Linked DNA regions of Mus musculus: regions 1 and 3 are each reported to be linked to region 2. The links are microRNA targets in miRTarBase. Many come from high-throughput screens and were not tested one by one. Region 2 holds a microRNA gene; each other region holds the end of a gene's coding sequence.
The links. Region 2 holds the annotated microRNA mmu-miR-546 (AUGGUGGCACGGAGUC, at 3,011-3,026, shown strand). A microRNA usually pairs through its seed, bases 2 to 8, with sites in the 3' UTR of a target mRNA and lowers its output. Matches are read on the target gene's strand: a 7mer-m8 pairs with bases 2 to 8, a 7mer-A1 pairs with bases 2 to 7 and ends in A, and an 8mer does both.

Region 1 (5,075 bases), not on the chromosome of region 2:
GTAGTAACAGTATCATTCCCTGTTCAACATAATTCATGTTTCTAGGTTGCAGCAAAAATCTCAATTTATGTATAATCCAGAGTGAAACATCTATAGCCTACTTCTTAACCAGCCTGAGGACTGGCTCGATTCCACTTCATTGTTTATCTGAACCATTGCTATTTTGGTAAATTTGTTTTGTTGAAGACTTTCACATAAAAACTATCCTATGTCACCACATTCTGTCAAAAACGAAAGAGGGATAAATACTAGTATAAGCAAAATAAGAAATCTTAACTTTGATGATCTCATTTAAAACATGTATTTAGTTATAAATATTCCTCATGGCTGTGTTTACAACAATACCATCTCTCCACTCCCTCACTTTTGTCCATTGCCTTCTGGTTTCTACTATCAAAATACAAAAAGACATCTGATGGCAACACTTAGCAGTGCAGTGAAAACTCACCTTCCTCCCCTACCTTGGGGCTGTTTGCTCCATGTGAGCTTTCCTAGGTCCTTCCCCCACCCCTAGTTAAGAACTCAAAAATCACTCCTTCACGAAGATGTATACTTCCGAGCTTGAAGGCCCTTGGGGCAGATGAGTGATGCAGGACAATGCAAGTTTCCAATTCACCTGTTCATTACATCTACAAATCAAAATCTCTTCAGTTAAAATTGAGGACCGAGCATTCATTTGCCATCATAAGAAATCATTCTCTGTGATCCTGGTAGAGAAGCCACCTGCATAGCACTGTATGGTCACGCACCTTGCAGGGACTCCAAAGCTAACAGGCTAAAGCTTAATCTGAAAATGGACACGCGCTCTGCAAAAGTGGCTTCTAGTAATTAGACTAAGAGAATAAAATAAGAGGTTTTTGTTTTGTTTTTTAAAGGAGTGAAAGACTTAACATAGCTTCCAAAGGAACAGGGATGAGTTATAAGACAGGAGAGCCTGGCTCAGCAGTTAGAAGGAAGCTGAGTTACCAGTGACTCAGCGAATCAGAGGCCCTGACTACTTCACTCTTAGTAAAACAGTTTAACAAACACAAGCATGTTTGTTTGTTTGTTTTTTATAGCAAAGGGAATGTATCTTAACACGGATCCTGTTTATCTATTGGGACTCCAAACGGTCAAACCTAAACAGCTTAGCACACTTTGTCTTAGCAAAACTGTGAACTTAAAAAAAAAACAAACACTCCACAAAAACCCAAAATAAAACCTATTAATATAATGAACTGTGGTTAAACTTGAAATTAAACTGAAAATAAAAATTAGGATTGTTTAAAATGGCCAATTAAGGGAAGTGGATATTAACATTTATCTACATCCATTTCTTGAAAAATTTAAACGCATAAAGTAAAGGTTACTGTCAAATTTCTGTTTCTGAGTTAGTGATTTCCTGACATTACACTCTGAAGGCTAGAGTTTGGAAATGCAAAGACTGACACGAGGAGCTACGACTCCTGACAACACGGGAAGAGCTTTGCTTCTAAAGCACATCCTATCTATTTGGTAGTTGGAAAAAAAAAAAAAAAACTGAAAACAAAGCTTTTCTTATATAAAATGCTTTGTTTTTTAAAAAGTAATTTATCTAGCATTCTAAAATTTAAGCCCTTTAAATATCACAAAGGTACCCTTGTTGGCCTTACAAAAGATAGCTACCTTTAAATATTCTAAACAAGAATGATTCTCTGTTTAGTTACCCTGGTGATTTCTATGACGGGATCGTAACTGGCTTTCATCTCTTCAATGTTTTCCATATGTTCTGGTGAAAAGTATACATCTAGGCATTCCTCTCTTAAATCAACTTTAAATAAACTTTAAATATTACTATATATACAATTATCTCTTGCAGTTGTATTTCCTATAACAGACCCATAAACAAAATATCCTTAAAAATGTAGAGTCTCATTGGAACAGAAAAAAGCCTTTGTATCATTTTATATTAAACACTGGTTAGGTAAGTTTATTAAAAATGTTTGGGTAGTAGGCAACTAACCATTTGTGCATTCATAGTATATTCAAATCTGTCACTAAGGTTGGCTACAAGCTTTGCCACTAGGGATAAAAATCCACAGGGAGGTGTGTCCTTCACAGGGAGGCTGCCAGGGCTGTCCTAACACACGACTCTTAGGATAGAGTAGACTCAAACACTTTCAATCAAAACAATCTAAAAAGAATTCTTCAAATCAATTCATCTCTGATTTATTCTCATTTCTTTCTTCCTTTTACTTTTTTCTAGCTCTTAACAACAAAACAAAACAAAACAAAAAACAAAAAAACCAAGACAAAACAACCCAATTTAGAACCAAGAACATTTACCATACTAAAATAGGATTCTAGTGAGTTTTAGGATTTCTTTATTACTAGGCACAGTTTTCAAAGATCATGTATGATAAAAAAATAAAAATGACTGACTTTCCTAGTTGGTTTTTCTGAAAGCTACCCACCTATGCTTGGGAGCAATCAGCCATGAGTCAGGTAAAAAACAACTGGGACTCAGGGTGGGGGTGTGACCAGTGACAGGGCACGTGCGCATCATATACAAAGTCCTGGGTGCAATTCTCAGTATCAAGAAGAAAAAAGAACAGAGATAGAAATTAAATTTCAGCCGGGCGTGGTGGCGCACGCCTTTAATCCCAGAATTTGGGAGGCAGAGGCAGGCGGATTTCTGAGTTCGAGGCCAGCCTGGTCTACAAAGTGAGTTCCAGGACAGCCAGGGCTACACAGAGAAACCCTGTCTTGGAAAAAAAAAAAAAAAAAAAAAAAAAAAAAGAACCCAAAAACAAAACAAAACCAAAAAACCTACAAAAAACCAGAAATTAAATTGCAGAATTAATAAATTTTAAAGAAACAAATTACTATAATATAAAAAGTAAGTAAGGTTTGGCATTGGGATAAAAGTCAGATCAGGTGTTTGACTAAGACTATAGTCTGATCTGGGTGTGGTGATGTGTGTCTATAATATATAATGGTAGCAAAGGTTGTTGGGAAACTGAGGCAAGAGGATGATGAGTTCTGGACCAACCTGGACTACCTATGATCCTGTCACAAAACAAAAGAGAGTGTCCAAAGTCAAACAAACAAACAAACAAACAAACAAAATGTTGTTTTTATCTTCTAACCCCATCAGGGGCTATCATAACGATAAACATTGGGGCTATTTTCTATATAAAAAATTACACAAAAGTTCATTACTCGTGGCTTCATAAATATTTTAGATCAAAGAGGCTTTAATGGCAAAAGATAAAAAAGTATATCCCAATCTAGAATATCATATAAATGTTATCGTCTGAGTAGCAAAGTTTTTAAGATTCTGGTCTTAACAATCCCTCCCTCCATGTCTGAGTCACAGATGATCACTCACAACCTCGTCGTATCTTTTACATTATTGCTTACATCTCGTGAAAGCTTTTAACAAACTTGGCAATACCTCAAAATATTTTGGAATAAGGACATTATATTGTTGTCATATGTGACCTTGTAAACAATCTTAATTGGGTTAAGAATGTAGCCTCAAAACAGAATTCTTTTATTTTGTCCAAAACAGCACAGCATCGACATCCTCAACAATACATAAACCTATATATAAAATATAGAATATCTTCACTATTTCTCCTTTATATGGCAGCACAATAGTATATGCAAATGAAAGTGCTGTTGGTGGGACACGAGGACACTTCTCTGAGCAATGCCCTAGTTAGCCAGGTGTCAGCATTCAATGACCAGGAAGAGAAAGTCTCAGGAGAGTTTCTGCAAAGCTGGGTATACGTACCTCGTTCTGCACCCTGCCATTCCACATGCAGCCTGACTCTTCTCAACCACACCTCTTAGCCTCTGGAGTGGTGCTATAAAGGTACAGGAAATACCTGCCTGATACTAATTTTTCACTATGAAAATTCAAAATGGCTTAAAAAAGAATATACTGGATTTCAGAAGTTATTTACCTTCATCTGAAAAAAACAAAAACAAAAACAAACCCACCACAAATACTTCCAAAACTACAGGGTTTATAACACCCTGCACTTAGGAGTACACATTTACTTAGGCCTTGTCAAACTGTTTAATAACTTCTCATTAGCCCTCTTCTCTCAGGAAGGTCAACCACAGCCTGAGTTCTTTTGTATCTGCTGCTGCCCACTTTTAACAATGGGAGGAAGAACTGCCATGTTCTAAGTCAGCTGCTTTTCCTTAAGTCTCAAAGTTTATGTTCTGTTTCAATGTTACCTTATTGTATACATACAGAAGCAATCTCTCAGCTATGAAAAAACAAAACAAAACATAGAACCCTCCAGTTTTAGGGTTTACAAAGGGAACCCTTCTTTAAAAATTAAATTAAATTTAAACATATGAGACCAAGCACAGGCACTTTCCAAAAAACCAAACCCCAGGCCAATCACAGAATTACTCAATAGTTATAGCAGGCAGCTCTGCCTTAGGGGGGTCATCCCTGGGCGCCTCAGCAGGAGCACTGGTCTTTGGCTGCTCATGCAGTTCCTCCTCCTTCTCTGTAAGCCCACCAAGAGAGCCCAGGGGAAAAGTGCTTTCACAATTCTGGGTTGAGGAGACCTGTGAAATCACAGGCATTTGAACAGAAGAGTTGCTTTCAAAAGTATGTTCTCCAAGATCATACTGAACAAGGGTCTCTTCTTGCTCCTGGTTTAAGTAGTCCGGTACTAAGAAATCACTAAATGAGAGGCAAAGGATAAAATACAAAATTAATTTTCAAACTATAATAAAGAGATATCATCTATAATACAAGTCTGGGGCTTTTCATTTCACTAATTATTCAATGAAGTTAATATAAATAAGCTTTCCCAAATATCAACTGAAGCCATTCAGTAGAACCAATGTGCATCCCACCTCCCTATGGGCAATAAAAAAGATTAATGATCACTTCCAGTGATTCTCTGGACACTTCAAAGGCCTTTCTGGATCTACATATAGGAGTCTGTATATAATGTGAGTGGCATTTCACTAAAGCAAGCATCATGTGACTAAGCCGAGTAAGAGGTTTATATAGACCTAGCTCTGTATTTCTTTTGTAATACCTCTTTGTAGAGGTTAGCTAAGAAGCTCAGTCTTTATGCATG
Region 2 (5,075 bases):
TGTGGTTCTTGCCAGATGGGACCTACACAAGCCGTCCTGCTGGAATCCCGTACAGAAGGCTACTGTGGAGGCTGCGGCTGGATTCAAGTAATCCAGGATAGGCTGTGTCCGTCCATGAGGCCTGTTCTTGATTACTTGTTTCTGGAGGCAGCGCATGGTCTGCCCTCAATGAAGATGGCTCCTGGGAGTGCATTCCTTCCTGCCGGGTTAGGGTTGGGCCTGTTGAGGCAGCAGAAGCCTGGTAACATGGTAGAGCTGTCCATGGTGGGGCAGAGGTCTCAGTGTCTCGACCTGGGTATCTAGGCCTGCTTGCTTTTCTGTCAGTGCACAGGCAGAGCCGGTGCTGTGTCCTTGGCCTTGTGGGGTTCCTACAGCAATCCACTCTGTCTCCCAGGTATATGTGCTCAAGAGGCCTTACGTCGATGAGTTCCTGAGACGGATGGGGGAGCTCTTCGAATGTGTTCTCTTCACTGCCAGCTTGGCCAAGGTACCTGACTGCAGGAGGGGCAGAAGGCAGGGGAGAGCCAGCCCTCAGCCTAGGCTAAAGCTTCTCCTTCTTTTCCAGTATGCTGACCCTGTGACTGATCTCCTGGACCGGTGCGGGGTGTTCCGGGCCCGCCTGTTCCGAGAGGCTTGTGTGTTCCACCAGGGCTGCTATGTCAAGGACCTCAGCCGCCTGGGAAGGGACCTGAGGAAAACTGTCATCCTGGACAACTCCCCTGCATCTTACATCTTCCACCCAGAAAATGCAGTGAGTGCTCGCATCAGGGACTGGGGTGGCTGCAGGCTGGGCCCGTGGGCTTTATCAGAGGAGTCCACAACCCCTGTGTGGCCCAGCAGCCTCCAATGGCACTGGAAAGGAAAGGAAATATCAGATAATGTCACTTTTTCCTGCCCCAGGTGCCTGTGCAGTCCTGGTTTGATGACATGGCAGATACAGAGTTGCTGAACCTGATTCCAGTCTTCGAGGAGCTAAGTGGAACTGATGATGTCTACACCAGCCTTGGGCAGCTGCGGGCCCCTTAGCCTTCCTGCTCCAAGAAACGGCCATCCCAACAGGGGACTCTGCTACACTGTGCCTTTGTGGTCAGCCTCACTGACGGGGTCTGCAAGTAGCCAGGGCGTGTGGGACAAAAGCAGGTCACACGCAGAGCAGGAAATCAGACCAAGACCCAGAGCTCTCTGCACCCCGTGCTCAGTTCCCAGGTGGTTGTGTGGGTGTGTGTGCGTGCATGTGCCCGTCCGGTAAACTATGGTCCTGGGTGCCCAGTTGTGCAGTAGGGGGAGAAGCTGAAAGATAAGGACTCAACCCAAGTCATTTGTCTTCTTTCCTGCTATGCTGTGAGCTACTGAGCTTTACAGCCATGAAAACTATTGTAGGCTCCCTCGCCAAACCATGGCTTTCCCTCAGCATCAAGACCTGTGCCAAGGAGAAGGGAGAGGCCGGAGGCTGCTTTGGATGCCCAGACACACATCTTTCAGAAAACACAGAAACCTAGCCAGCAGCTGCAGACATGTTTGGGAATATGAGAGCATGTTCGCAGACCCACCAGGTTCTGTGTCCTATGGGCTACACCTGGCTCCAGCAAGAATGCCTGCCATGGGCACTTCTCTGTACCCGGGCTCCAGTGCCAGGCCAGCCTCTCACTCCCAAGCCATAGTCCTACTCCCATGGGAAAGGAGGTCTTCTCTCTGCCCTGGAGGAGGACATATAGCTGATTTCTGTTCTTTTAACTCTTAAAAATCTCTTTCTAAACTTGGAGTGGTTTATATTCGCCCGAGCTCCAGTCCTGGGCCTGAGGTTTGTGTGGGAAGCGCTGGGGTACAAAGAAAATGCAAATGTTCAATGCAAGATGTCTGTCTCCTTGCGTGTAGATCCCAAAAGTGCTCTTCAGGGGTTCTGTGCTAGCTGATGCAAGGACATTAGCTCCAAAGGCTGGGGAGGGCTTGGCTCTCCCTCTGTGTCTTCCTGGTGTCCCGCCCTGGCCAGCTCTCGTCTGCTCTCGCCTTTATCCTTCTCGGCTGCTGCTCTTCCTCTCCAGAGCCTTGGGAGAAGGACTTTCCCCGGTTGTACTTAATTGATTGGTTGTCCCAAGTGTTGCTCTTACTTGATTTGCCAAATGCCTCCTGCTTCTCGTTATAGGACTGAGTGAGGTCCTCATAGCTCTGTGCTCTGGGCAGCTCTGAGCTCTCAGCCCTGTTGCTTTCAATGTCAGTCACAGAGTGGAAGTTTCCCCAAAGTGGAAAGCTACCATTGGGAACACAAGGGGCCCCTGAGGGGCCTCCACCTCACTGCCTTAAGTGAGTCCCGCCCACTCCCTGCCTCCCTCCGAGGTGGGCGGGAGTTCCTACCCCATCTCTGCTTCCCCTGGAGGCCGGCCAGCGTTTGTGGGTTGGTTCAGGTGTGGTACCTCCCACTCAGGAGTCAATATTTTCAAATTTTTCTAGTTTCCACACACGAGGTCCTGCCTGGGGTTTGAGAAAGCCTGGTGGAGGAGTGTGGTGGTGTGAGTGGAGACTGGCTGGCATTCCTCCAGCACTCTGCAGACTTCTTCCTGGGCCCGAGGCTATGGAGCCTTGGCTTTCACTTCTGTGACAAACACATGCCATTTCCCCAGCCTCATTTGCTGGTGTCTGTAGGGTCCTCCCAAGGTGAGCTGAGGGCTGCAGGTGCTAGCCAGGAACATGGGAGCTTGACTGTGGCTTCAGGTCCAGACCCTGATCTCACTGGCATCCCAATACTGCAGGAGGGGTCTTCTCACAAAGCTCTGAGGGCTGGTCTTGACTAAGCAATAAGAGCCTCAGAGTTGATTGAATTTTAAGGTCCCTTTCTGGCTTCTTGGTTCTCCATGTGACCAAAGCCCAGTGTGGCTTCATGGGAGCCCTGTTACTTCTCCATGAAACCCCAGCTCTCTAGGCCTGACTGCCACCAGAGTCCTCTTACCACCTGCAGTCTGCCACAAAGATGCCATATCAACTCCTCTCTTCCCAAAACTAAACAGGATCTATCATGGTGGCACGGAGTCAGCTAGATGTTGTCTCTTGCTATCCCTGTGCTAGTTCCATGTTTTAGAAGCAAAGTGATACTGGGGAGGAGAGGAGGGCAAGTGAGAGGAGCCAGTGCCTCCTGAAGCCCTTGCTCCACTGCCACCAGCCCGCCTGCCCCAGTGCAGACTGGTCTTCAGGAGTCAGTAGACCACCGGACCAGGTGTCAGCATCCACTCCAAGCCATGCTAGGAATCTGCCCCCTGCCGGGTTCAGCTCTTTAAGGTGCCTCTTCAGGGACACAGTGTGTGTCTGATTGGGCTTCGCATCAAAAGCCTGACGTTCCTGTCCCTCTTATAGGGGGAGCTTTGGACACAGGACCAGTTTGATAAAGGGCCAGGTAAGGGTTTCCACTCTGCACATTGTAGAGGGGACACCGAAGGCCCATGGGTCCCTAATTAAAGAAGTTGAGTGAATTTGCCTTCGTTCAACCAGGGACCTATCTCACTCCCTCCCAAAGATTTTTGTATAATTGTATAACCCCCCTCCCCCTGTTAACAGTGGCTCAGAAAAGCTTTGTACTAAAAGCATGGGACCCTCACAGCAACCATTCCTGGGAGATGGGTCCCTTATAGGTCCATGACCTGCTCTGTTCAGAGGCCTCTTGGCAGTGTGGCCTGTTTGTGCTGTCCTGCATCCAGTGTGTTGGCCTGGCTAAGTGAAAACGGTGAGCTGTTTCCCCTTTGGGCTACTTAACCACGGCTACTCCTTTTTTAAAAATGTCCTAGTTCTCCCCTACACACACACACACACACACGGTTTGATGAATTTCCAAACCACGGCTACTCCTTTTTTAAAAACGGGTTTGAACTCCTGTTTAGCCAAGAGTGATCTTGAGCTGGTCTCCTGCCTCCACCCCCTGAGTGCTGGGGTTACAGGTGATAGCTGGTCTCCTGCCTCCACCTCCTGAGTGCTGGGGTTACAGGTGATCGCTGGTCTCCTGCCTCCACCTCCTGAGTGCTGGGGTTACAGGTGATCGCTGGTCTCCTGCCTCCACCCCCTGAGTGCTGGGGTTACAGGTGTGATCACCTTGCTGGCTTGTGAGGTGCTGGGGACAACCCAGGGCTTCGTGCATGTCAGGCACACACTCCCAACTAAGCTACATCCCCAGTCCCTCTTTCTAGAAAACAGATAAGTCCATGTTCAGGGGAGAAGAGGTCACAGGTCAGGCCAGCTGCCCCATCCTTTAGTTCGGGGTTAGCTCCCAGAACTGCCCTGCACCATAAGCTGGTGATTCTCCATGCCTGTCCTTACCCCGGATCTGGCTATTCCCGTGATGCCATTTGGAGGGGAGAGGTCTGCTTCCCACTGTGACCAGGCTATGGGATCCTTGGCCACCTTGCTTCATGATTTGATACATTTGTTGTATTCAAAAACTTGAACTGTAGGATGCCATTAAGAGTCTGTTTATATTTTTGGAATATTTGTATTACAATTGTTAATAAAGGCTGGTTTAAAAACCTGTGCAGGACTGGGAGCTGCTTTTGCTTTCCTTCCCTTCCACTGACCTGACACTCGGTGGACACTGTTCTTCCTGCATGACCTCGTTGATCGTGAAATGATAGCACCTGGCAGAGCAAACGCTGGGATTCTGATCAAGGTTACAGAGGTTGGAGTGCATTAGCCCCTCTCGGGCCTGGGTTGGAACCAACTCCCTCTCCCCAGGTACTTGGCAAGCGTTTGCTTGCTGTGCTATTGACTGGGGTAGAGACTGAAGCCCTGGGGGAATTGGAGGCTCCTGCATGTGCTCTTGATGCTGCCAAACAGGCCTTGAGATTCAGAGCCCAGCATGGTTTCCAGGCACATAGTAGGATGACTTGTACAGACTCCAAGCAACAAAAGCTTTCCTGACACCACAGAATTGCCCAGAATCATCTCTCAGCCCTGAACGTCCAGGCACACAGTAGGGGAGCTCTAGCCAGTCTCCTGTCATCAGCATAATACGTTCATATCTACAATATGGCAAATTCATATCCTCCCTCACTGAATTATTGATGGACAGTGCACTTTTAAAAAAATCAATAGACCAG
Region 3 (5,075 bases), not on the chromosome of region 2:
GTTCACCTTCAGGCCATCAATGGAACCAGGCTGCTACCCTGGAACTTACCAGAACTACCACAACTTTCCGTCAGGTCGAATCCCAGTTCTTCCCACTGCAAATGTCCTCTCTCCTGTGGCACTATTTCCCCCTCTTTAAAGATGGATACGCTTCTGGTTGACAGTGTAGCTCCCAACACTCAGTGGGGTCACACTGTCCACATGCGCTACTCGAGGTGTCCTCTGAAAATGCAGGCTGTGCGCTTTACCTTCCGAACTCTTGTGACTGTGCCCATTTGCCCGTTGCAGGTGTACCTCCTTATCCTAAGTGTGACCACACTCAGCCTCTTACTCGCCCCAGTGCTGTGGAAAGCAGCCATTACCAAGTGTGTGCCGAGACCAGAGAGGCGCTCAAGTCTCTGACAACACCCGAGGACGACAGGCTGTGGGGCAAGGATCCTTCGGGGGTTCCAGTCCCGAGACGGTCTGCTGCTGCGCCTCTCTGCTGGCTTCCCAGCAGAGACAGAGTAACACGGGCCAAGAGGCAGCGCCCTCATGCTTGCTTGCTATTTCAAAGACTCTCCTGTCATGTTTAAGAATTTTCCAGAGTAATTTATTTGCAGTCAGTTGATTATGTACAGAGTTTTAACACTGCATTTTACAATCACCTGAACTATTTTGCCTGGATGTGCCTTTTTTAATGAAAATTATTAACTTCCATTTGTTAATTTACCAGCTTATGATTTTTTGGTAAAGAAGAAAAATTAGAAAGCCATTATATTTATTGTACAATTATAGTAGTTGGTCAAATATTTGTTATTAAACATAATAGCAATATGCGATTTTAATTTTATTTCTGAGCTTGGAAACTTACTTTTGATCTTTAAAACCTCAGTGTCCCCTTGCCTCTTGTCACTGTTTTAAATAAAACATTTTCATGTTCATTTTTATTAGTTTTAATTTGATTTTGAATCACAAGAATATGCATTCTTAAGTAAAGACCATTTATGATCAGGGTATAATTATTTGAAATTTACTGAGAATCTCATTTTTTTTTAAAAAAGATTTACTTATTTTTCTGTGGTTCTTTGCCTACATGTATGTGTGTATATGAGGGTGCCAGATCCCCAGGGACTGGAGTTACAGTTAGCAGCCATGTGGGTGCTAGGAGCTGAACCTAGGGGCTATGGAAGAGCAGCCAGTCTCCTAACCCATGAGCCATCTTTCCAGCCTCCAAAAATCTCATTTTATCTTAGATTTTTGTGTTGAACTAATCATTGGCAAAATCTTGCCAATGTTTTTTAATTTTAGATTTACTTACATGTCTGTATGAGCATCACCTGTGCTCCTGGTGTCTGAAGAAGTGAGAAGGGGGCTGGATGCACTGGACCTAGAGTAATGGGTGACTGTGAGATGCTGTGTGAGTGCTGGGAACCAAACCTGGGTCCTTTCCCAGAGCAATGAGTGCCCTTAACTGCCCTCAACTGTCTCTCCAGCCCCAGCTAGTGGTTTTTTTTTTTAATAAGGACCACTCATATGTCATCATATAGTTCTTTTTTTAAAAAAAGATTTATTTATTGTTATATGTAAGTACACTGTAGCTGTCTTAAGACACACCAGAAGAGGGTGTCAGATCTCATTATGAGTGGTTGTGAGCCACCATGTGGTTGCTGGGATTTGAACTCAGGACCTTCAGAAGAGCAGTCAATGCTCTTAACCACTGAGCCATCTCTCCAGCCCCATCATATAGTTATTAAAGACCAAATGAATGCATTTTAAAGATGTTTTAATTATCAGGTATCCTAGAAATGAAGACCTGACCCTTGACAGGGCTCTCCTGAGGGGCGTGGTCAGTCTCTCCATGGTGCTGTAGCTGGATAATCTGTTGGGAACTGGAATTTACTCTTAGTTTTAGATGCTGAGAAGCACAAGGTCAAAAGGGGGAAGGCTCTGTCCTTCTGCTCTGGGGCTGCATGCTGCATAGAGGATTTCAAGTAGTGAGGAGGGCAGACAGCCCAGTTCCAGGGGCTTGTTTATAATTAATGTAATTAACCCACCCATGAGGGCAAGTTCTCTCTGATTGAATCTCTTCTGAGCCCACCCTTCCAACACTGTTGTATTGGGGATTAAACTTGTAGCACCTGAACTCTGGGGTCTGGAAACATTCACGGAATAGGTGTTTTATTTTTCAGTTGCATACACTTTCTATTTTAGTTGACAGTTACAATTATATATGTGTATACTGTGAACAACATCACTGTTACTCTAAACAATTTCTCTGTATATACTGGTTTTCAGAGCTGGACAAATTGACCATAAATGCTGAGGTAGAGGGACAGAGTATAAGGTGTGATTATGTATTTTATGTGTGCATATATAGATTGCAGTAATGTAAATTAAGCCACTGAAGTCAATTGAAATACTGTGTCTTCTTGAAGTGGTGAACAATAGAAGCATTGTCTTTTAGAAAATGATGTTGCTTTCCTGAGTGGTGTCAGATGGCTGGTTCTATCGCTCTTCCCACGTGTTTGAGATATGCTGAAGGAGCAAGATATCCTGGCACAGCTGCTGGCCAGAAGTGGCTACAAGGTTTTGTGACTCCTGAAGAAGGCAAAGATTGCTTGGAGACAGTGTCAGGAGGAATCCTGGACAGAGAACTCAAGGATGTCAGTTTTGCTGCCTTCTGAGAGCTTAACCATCAGCTACAGGTACCGATGCTTCAGAGCACAGTACACTCATGGAGGCTTTGCTGAGGTCAGATGCAGCTCCAGGTGTGGAGGGATATGCATCCAAGATGCTGTGCTCCCAGAAGATACGGCAGTAGGACTAGGAAGGATGCCTGGCTTTCACCACGCTGCACACTGGTCATGACAGGGATCTCTTCCTGTCACACACTTGGACAGGTCTGGAGTAGCTGAGGGAATAGAATTGGCACACAGGCTCACTAACCTTCCTGAAGTTGGTTCTAGAAAAGCCAAGGCTCTTGGAGTACCTGTAAGACACCATTAAGATGAAGGGGAAGAGAGATGTGTGCAGAAAGACCTGGTTGGAGCTGACTTCAGAATTCCCAGTCTGTAGGGAAGGAAGATGACTGGAGTCATATTCCTATCATGTCCCCGGGGCCTGATGATGACAACAAGACCCCTCACAAAGGGCTTCATGTTCCTGCAGGGGCAGGGATGATAGATGGAGCTGCAGCTAGCCCTTCCAGGTAGAGAGGAGGCAGTGTCCAGAACAGGGGCACTCTTGCCTGGAGGGGAAGATGGTGAAATAAACACAAGACACAGTGTCCAGGGTTGTCTCCTACCTAGCTGGACTGGGCCAGTCCCTGTTGTAAGGACAGTAGTACGGATACTGCTCTACACAGGAGGAAGTGGAGGAGACCTAGACCATTCATTGAAGGGGATTTATGGTGTGATGATGTCACAGAGAAGCAGGCCAATAGGCACAAATTATTAAATTTACCTCTCCTTATGGAATTGAAAATTTTCCCCACCTTCTTTTCTCCCTCTTGCTCCGGCCCCAGCTTGCTCCAGCCCATAGGTTTTATTATTATTATTATTTGTTTCTCATTATGGATGCTTGTGAGCCATCATGTGGTTGCTGGGATTTGAACTCATGACCTCCAGAAGAGCAGTCAGTGCTCTTAACCACTGAACCATCTCACCAGCCCTGGTGTTGAACTTTTATTGGGAATTCTTTTTCCCCAAAAAGTTTATTCTTGAAAGGTAGATTATAGGCACCTTCCAGAGGTTGGTTTCTTTCTTTCTTTCTTTCTTTCTTTCTTTCTTTCTTTCTTTTTTTCGGGAAAGGGTTTCTCTGTGTAGCCCTGGCTGTCCTGGAACTCACTCTGTAGACCAGGCTGGCCTCGAACTCAGAAATCTGCCTGCCTCTGCCTCCCGAGTGCTGGGATTAAAGGTCACCCTGCCCAAATAATATTTTGTAATGATTTTTTATGTGCATTGGTATTTTGCCTGCATATCTGTGTGAGAGTGCCAGGTACCCTGGGATTGGAGTTATAAATAGCCATGAGCTGCCATGTGAATACTGGAAATTGAACCCAGGTCCTCTGGAAGAGCAGCCAGGGCACACTGCAGACTTAGGAGGTTGAAGACCTAGATGGAAACTTGTCCAGACCATGGTGAACTGACTGTAGGTGGAGGCTGCCTGGAAGGGGTGGGCTTCTGTGACTGGCAGGCATCCGAGCCAGCTCTGACCCCGCAGCACTGAGCTATCTCAGCTGGTACTTGCTAGCGTCATGGAGAAGCAGCCTTGGTATGGTCCTGCAGGACCAGCAGTTCTCACCTTTCTTGTGCATTTCAGCCAAGTAACTGGTCTGTTAAACCCAAAAACTGCACCGTGGGAGCTAAATTTCAGGGTTGGATGACAAAGATTTCCAAACAGATACCTTTGGGTCGCTACCCTCCAACCCTATGACGCAGAGGCACACGTTGTCTGGGAGTTCACCTAAGACTAGTTCCCAGTTCCTTCTTCCCTTCACGCCTCTCGTGATACCAAAAGGAGTGCCGGGTGAATGCATAAGAATATCTTCATGTTTTTGTTTGATGTTTTCCTGCAATGGTTTGTAGCTATGAGAACACATAGACAGGACCTTGACGATGCTGCCCTTTGTAGGTGTCAAACAGAACTTTTCACCTTTTCAGGAATGCATTTGACCCAATTATCAGGCTTGAAATACCATATTAGCTAATTAGGATACACTAACTTTGAGGTACCATCCTGCAGTTACTTCCTCTCAGTACTCATCTGTTTCCTTGGTCCCAGCCATCATTTGGACTGAGTCCAAACAATTAACTCCCTTTCAAAGAAGGTTTGGGGTTTCTGATTAAACCAGACATAGTTTTACCATCAGATCCAGCAAGTACCCACTCTCGCATTTGTCCACGGGAACTGCTGGCAAATTTGTGTCCATATAACAATCTGTGCATGATGGTTTGGGGCAGATTTTCCTTATTGCCAAAACTCAACCCAGAATTCTTCAGAGAGTCTGTGGGTGCATCCAGAACGTGGAACACGCAGCAGTAAACAAAGAGTGATTGAGTTGTGAAAATACCCAAGGGGACTTTAAATGACAC

Region 1: miRTarBase lists Zbtb44 as a target of mmu-miR-546. Seed matches in the 3' UTR shown: 7mer-A1 at 3,643-3,649 and 7mer-m8 at 2,601-2,607.
Region 3: miRTarBase lists Tmco3 as a target of mmu-miR-546. Seed matches in the 3' UTR shown: 7mer-m8 at 1,635-1,641.

Annotation. Positions count from the first base shown.
Region 1 is chr9:31,068,339-31,073,413 of GRCm38, reverse strand. It overlaps Zbtb44 (zinc finger and BTB domain containing 44), which reads right to left. Exons shown (of 6, transcript NM_001115130.1): 6 at 1-4,669. The coding sequence ends at 4,659. Among named protein-coding and RNA genes, the nearest start is that of Gm17508, 12 kb to the left of the region's middle.
Region 2 is chr10:126,995,461-127,000,535 of GRCm38, forward strand. Mir546 (microRNA 546) reads left to right here and starts at 2,980; the gene lies at 2,980-3,100. It overlaps Ctdsp2 (CTD (carboxy-terminal domain, RNA polymerase II, polypeptide A) small phosphatase 2), which reads left to right. Exons shown (of 8, transcript NM_001113470.1): 6 at 395-487; 7 at 566-751; 8 at 901-4,515. The coding sequence ends at 1,026. It overlaps Mir26a-2 (microRNA 26a-2), which reads left to right and starts at 70; the gene lies at 70-153. It also overlaps a transcript of Avil not described here.
Region 3 is chr8:13,320,473-13,325,547 of GRCm38, forward strand. It overlaps Tmco3 (transmembrane and coiled-coil domains 3), which reads left to right. Exons shown (of 13, transcript NM_172282.2): 13 at 289-2,452. The coding sequence ends at 402. Among named protein-coding and RNA genes, the nearest start is that of Tfdp1, 16 kb to the right of the region's middle.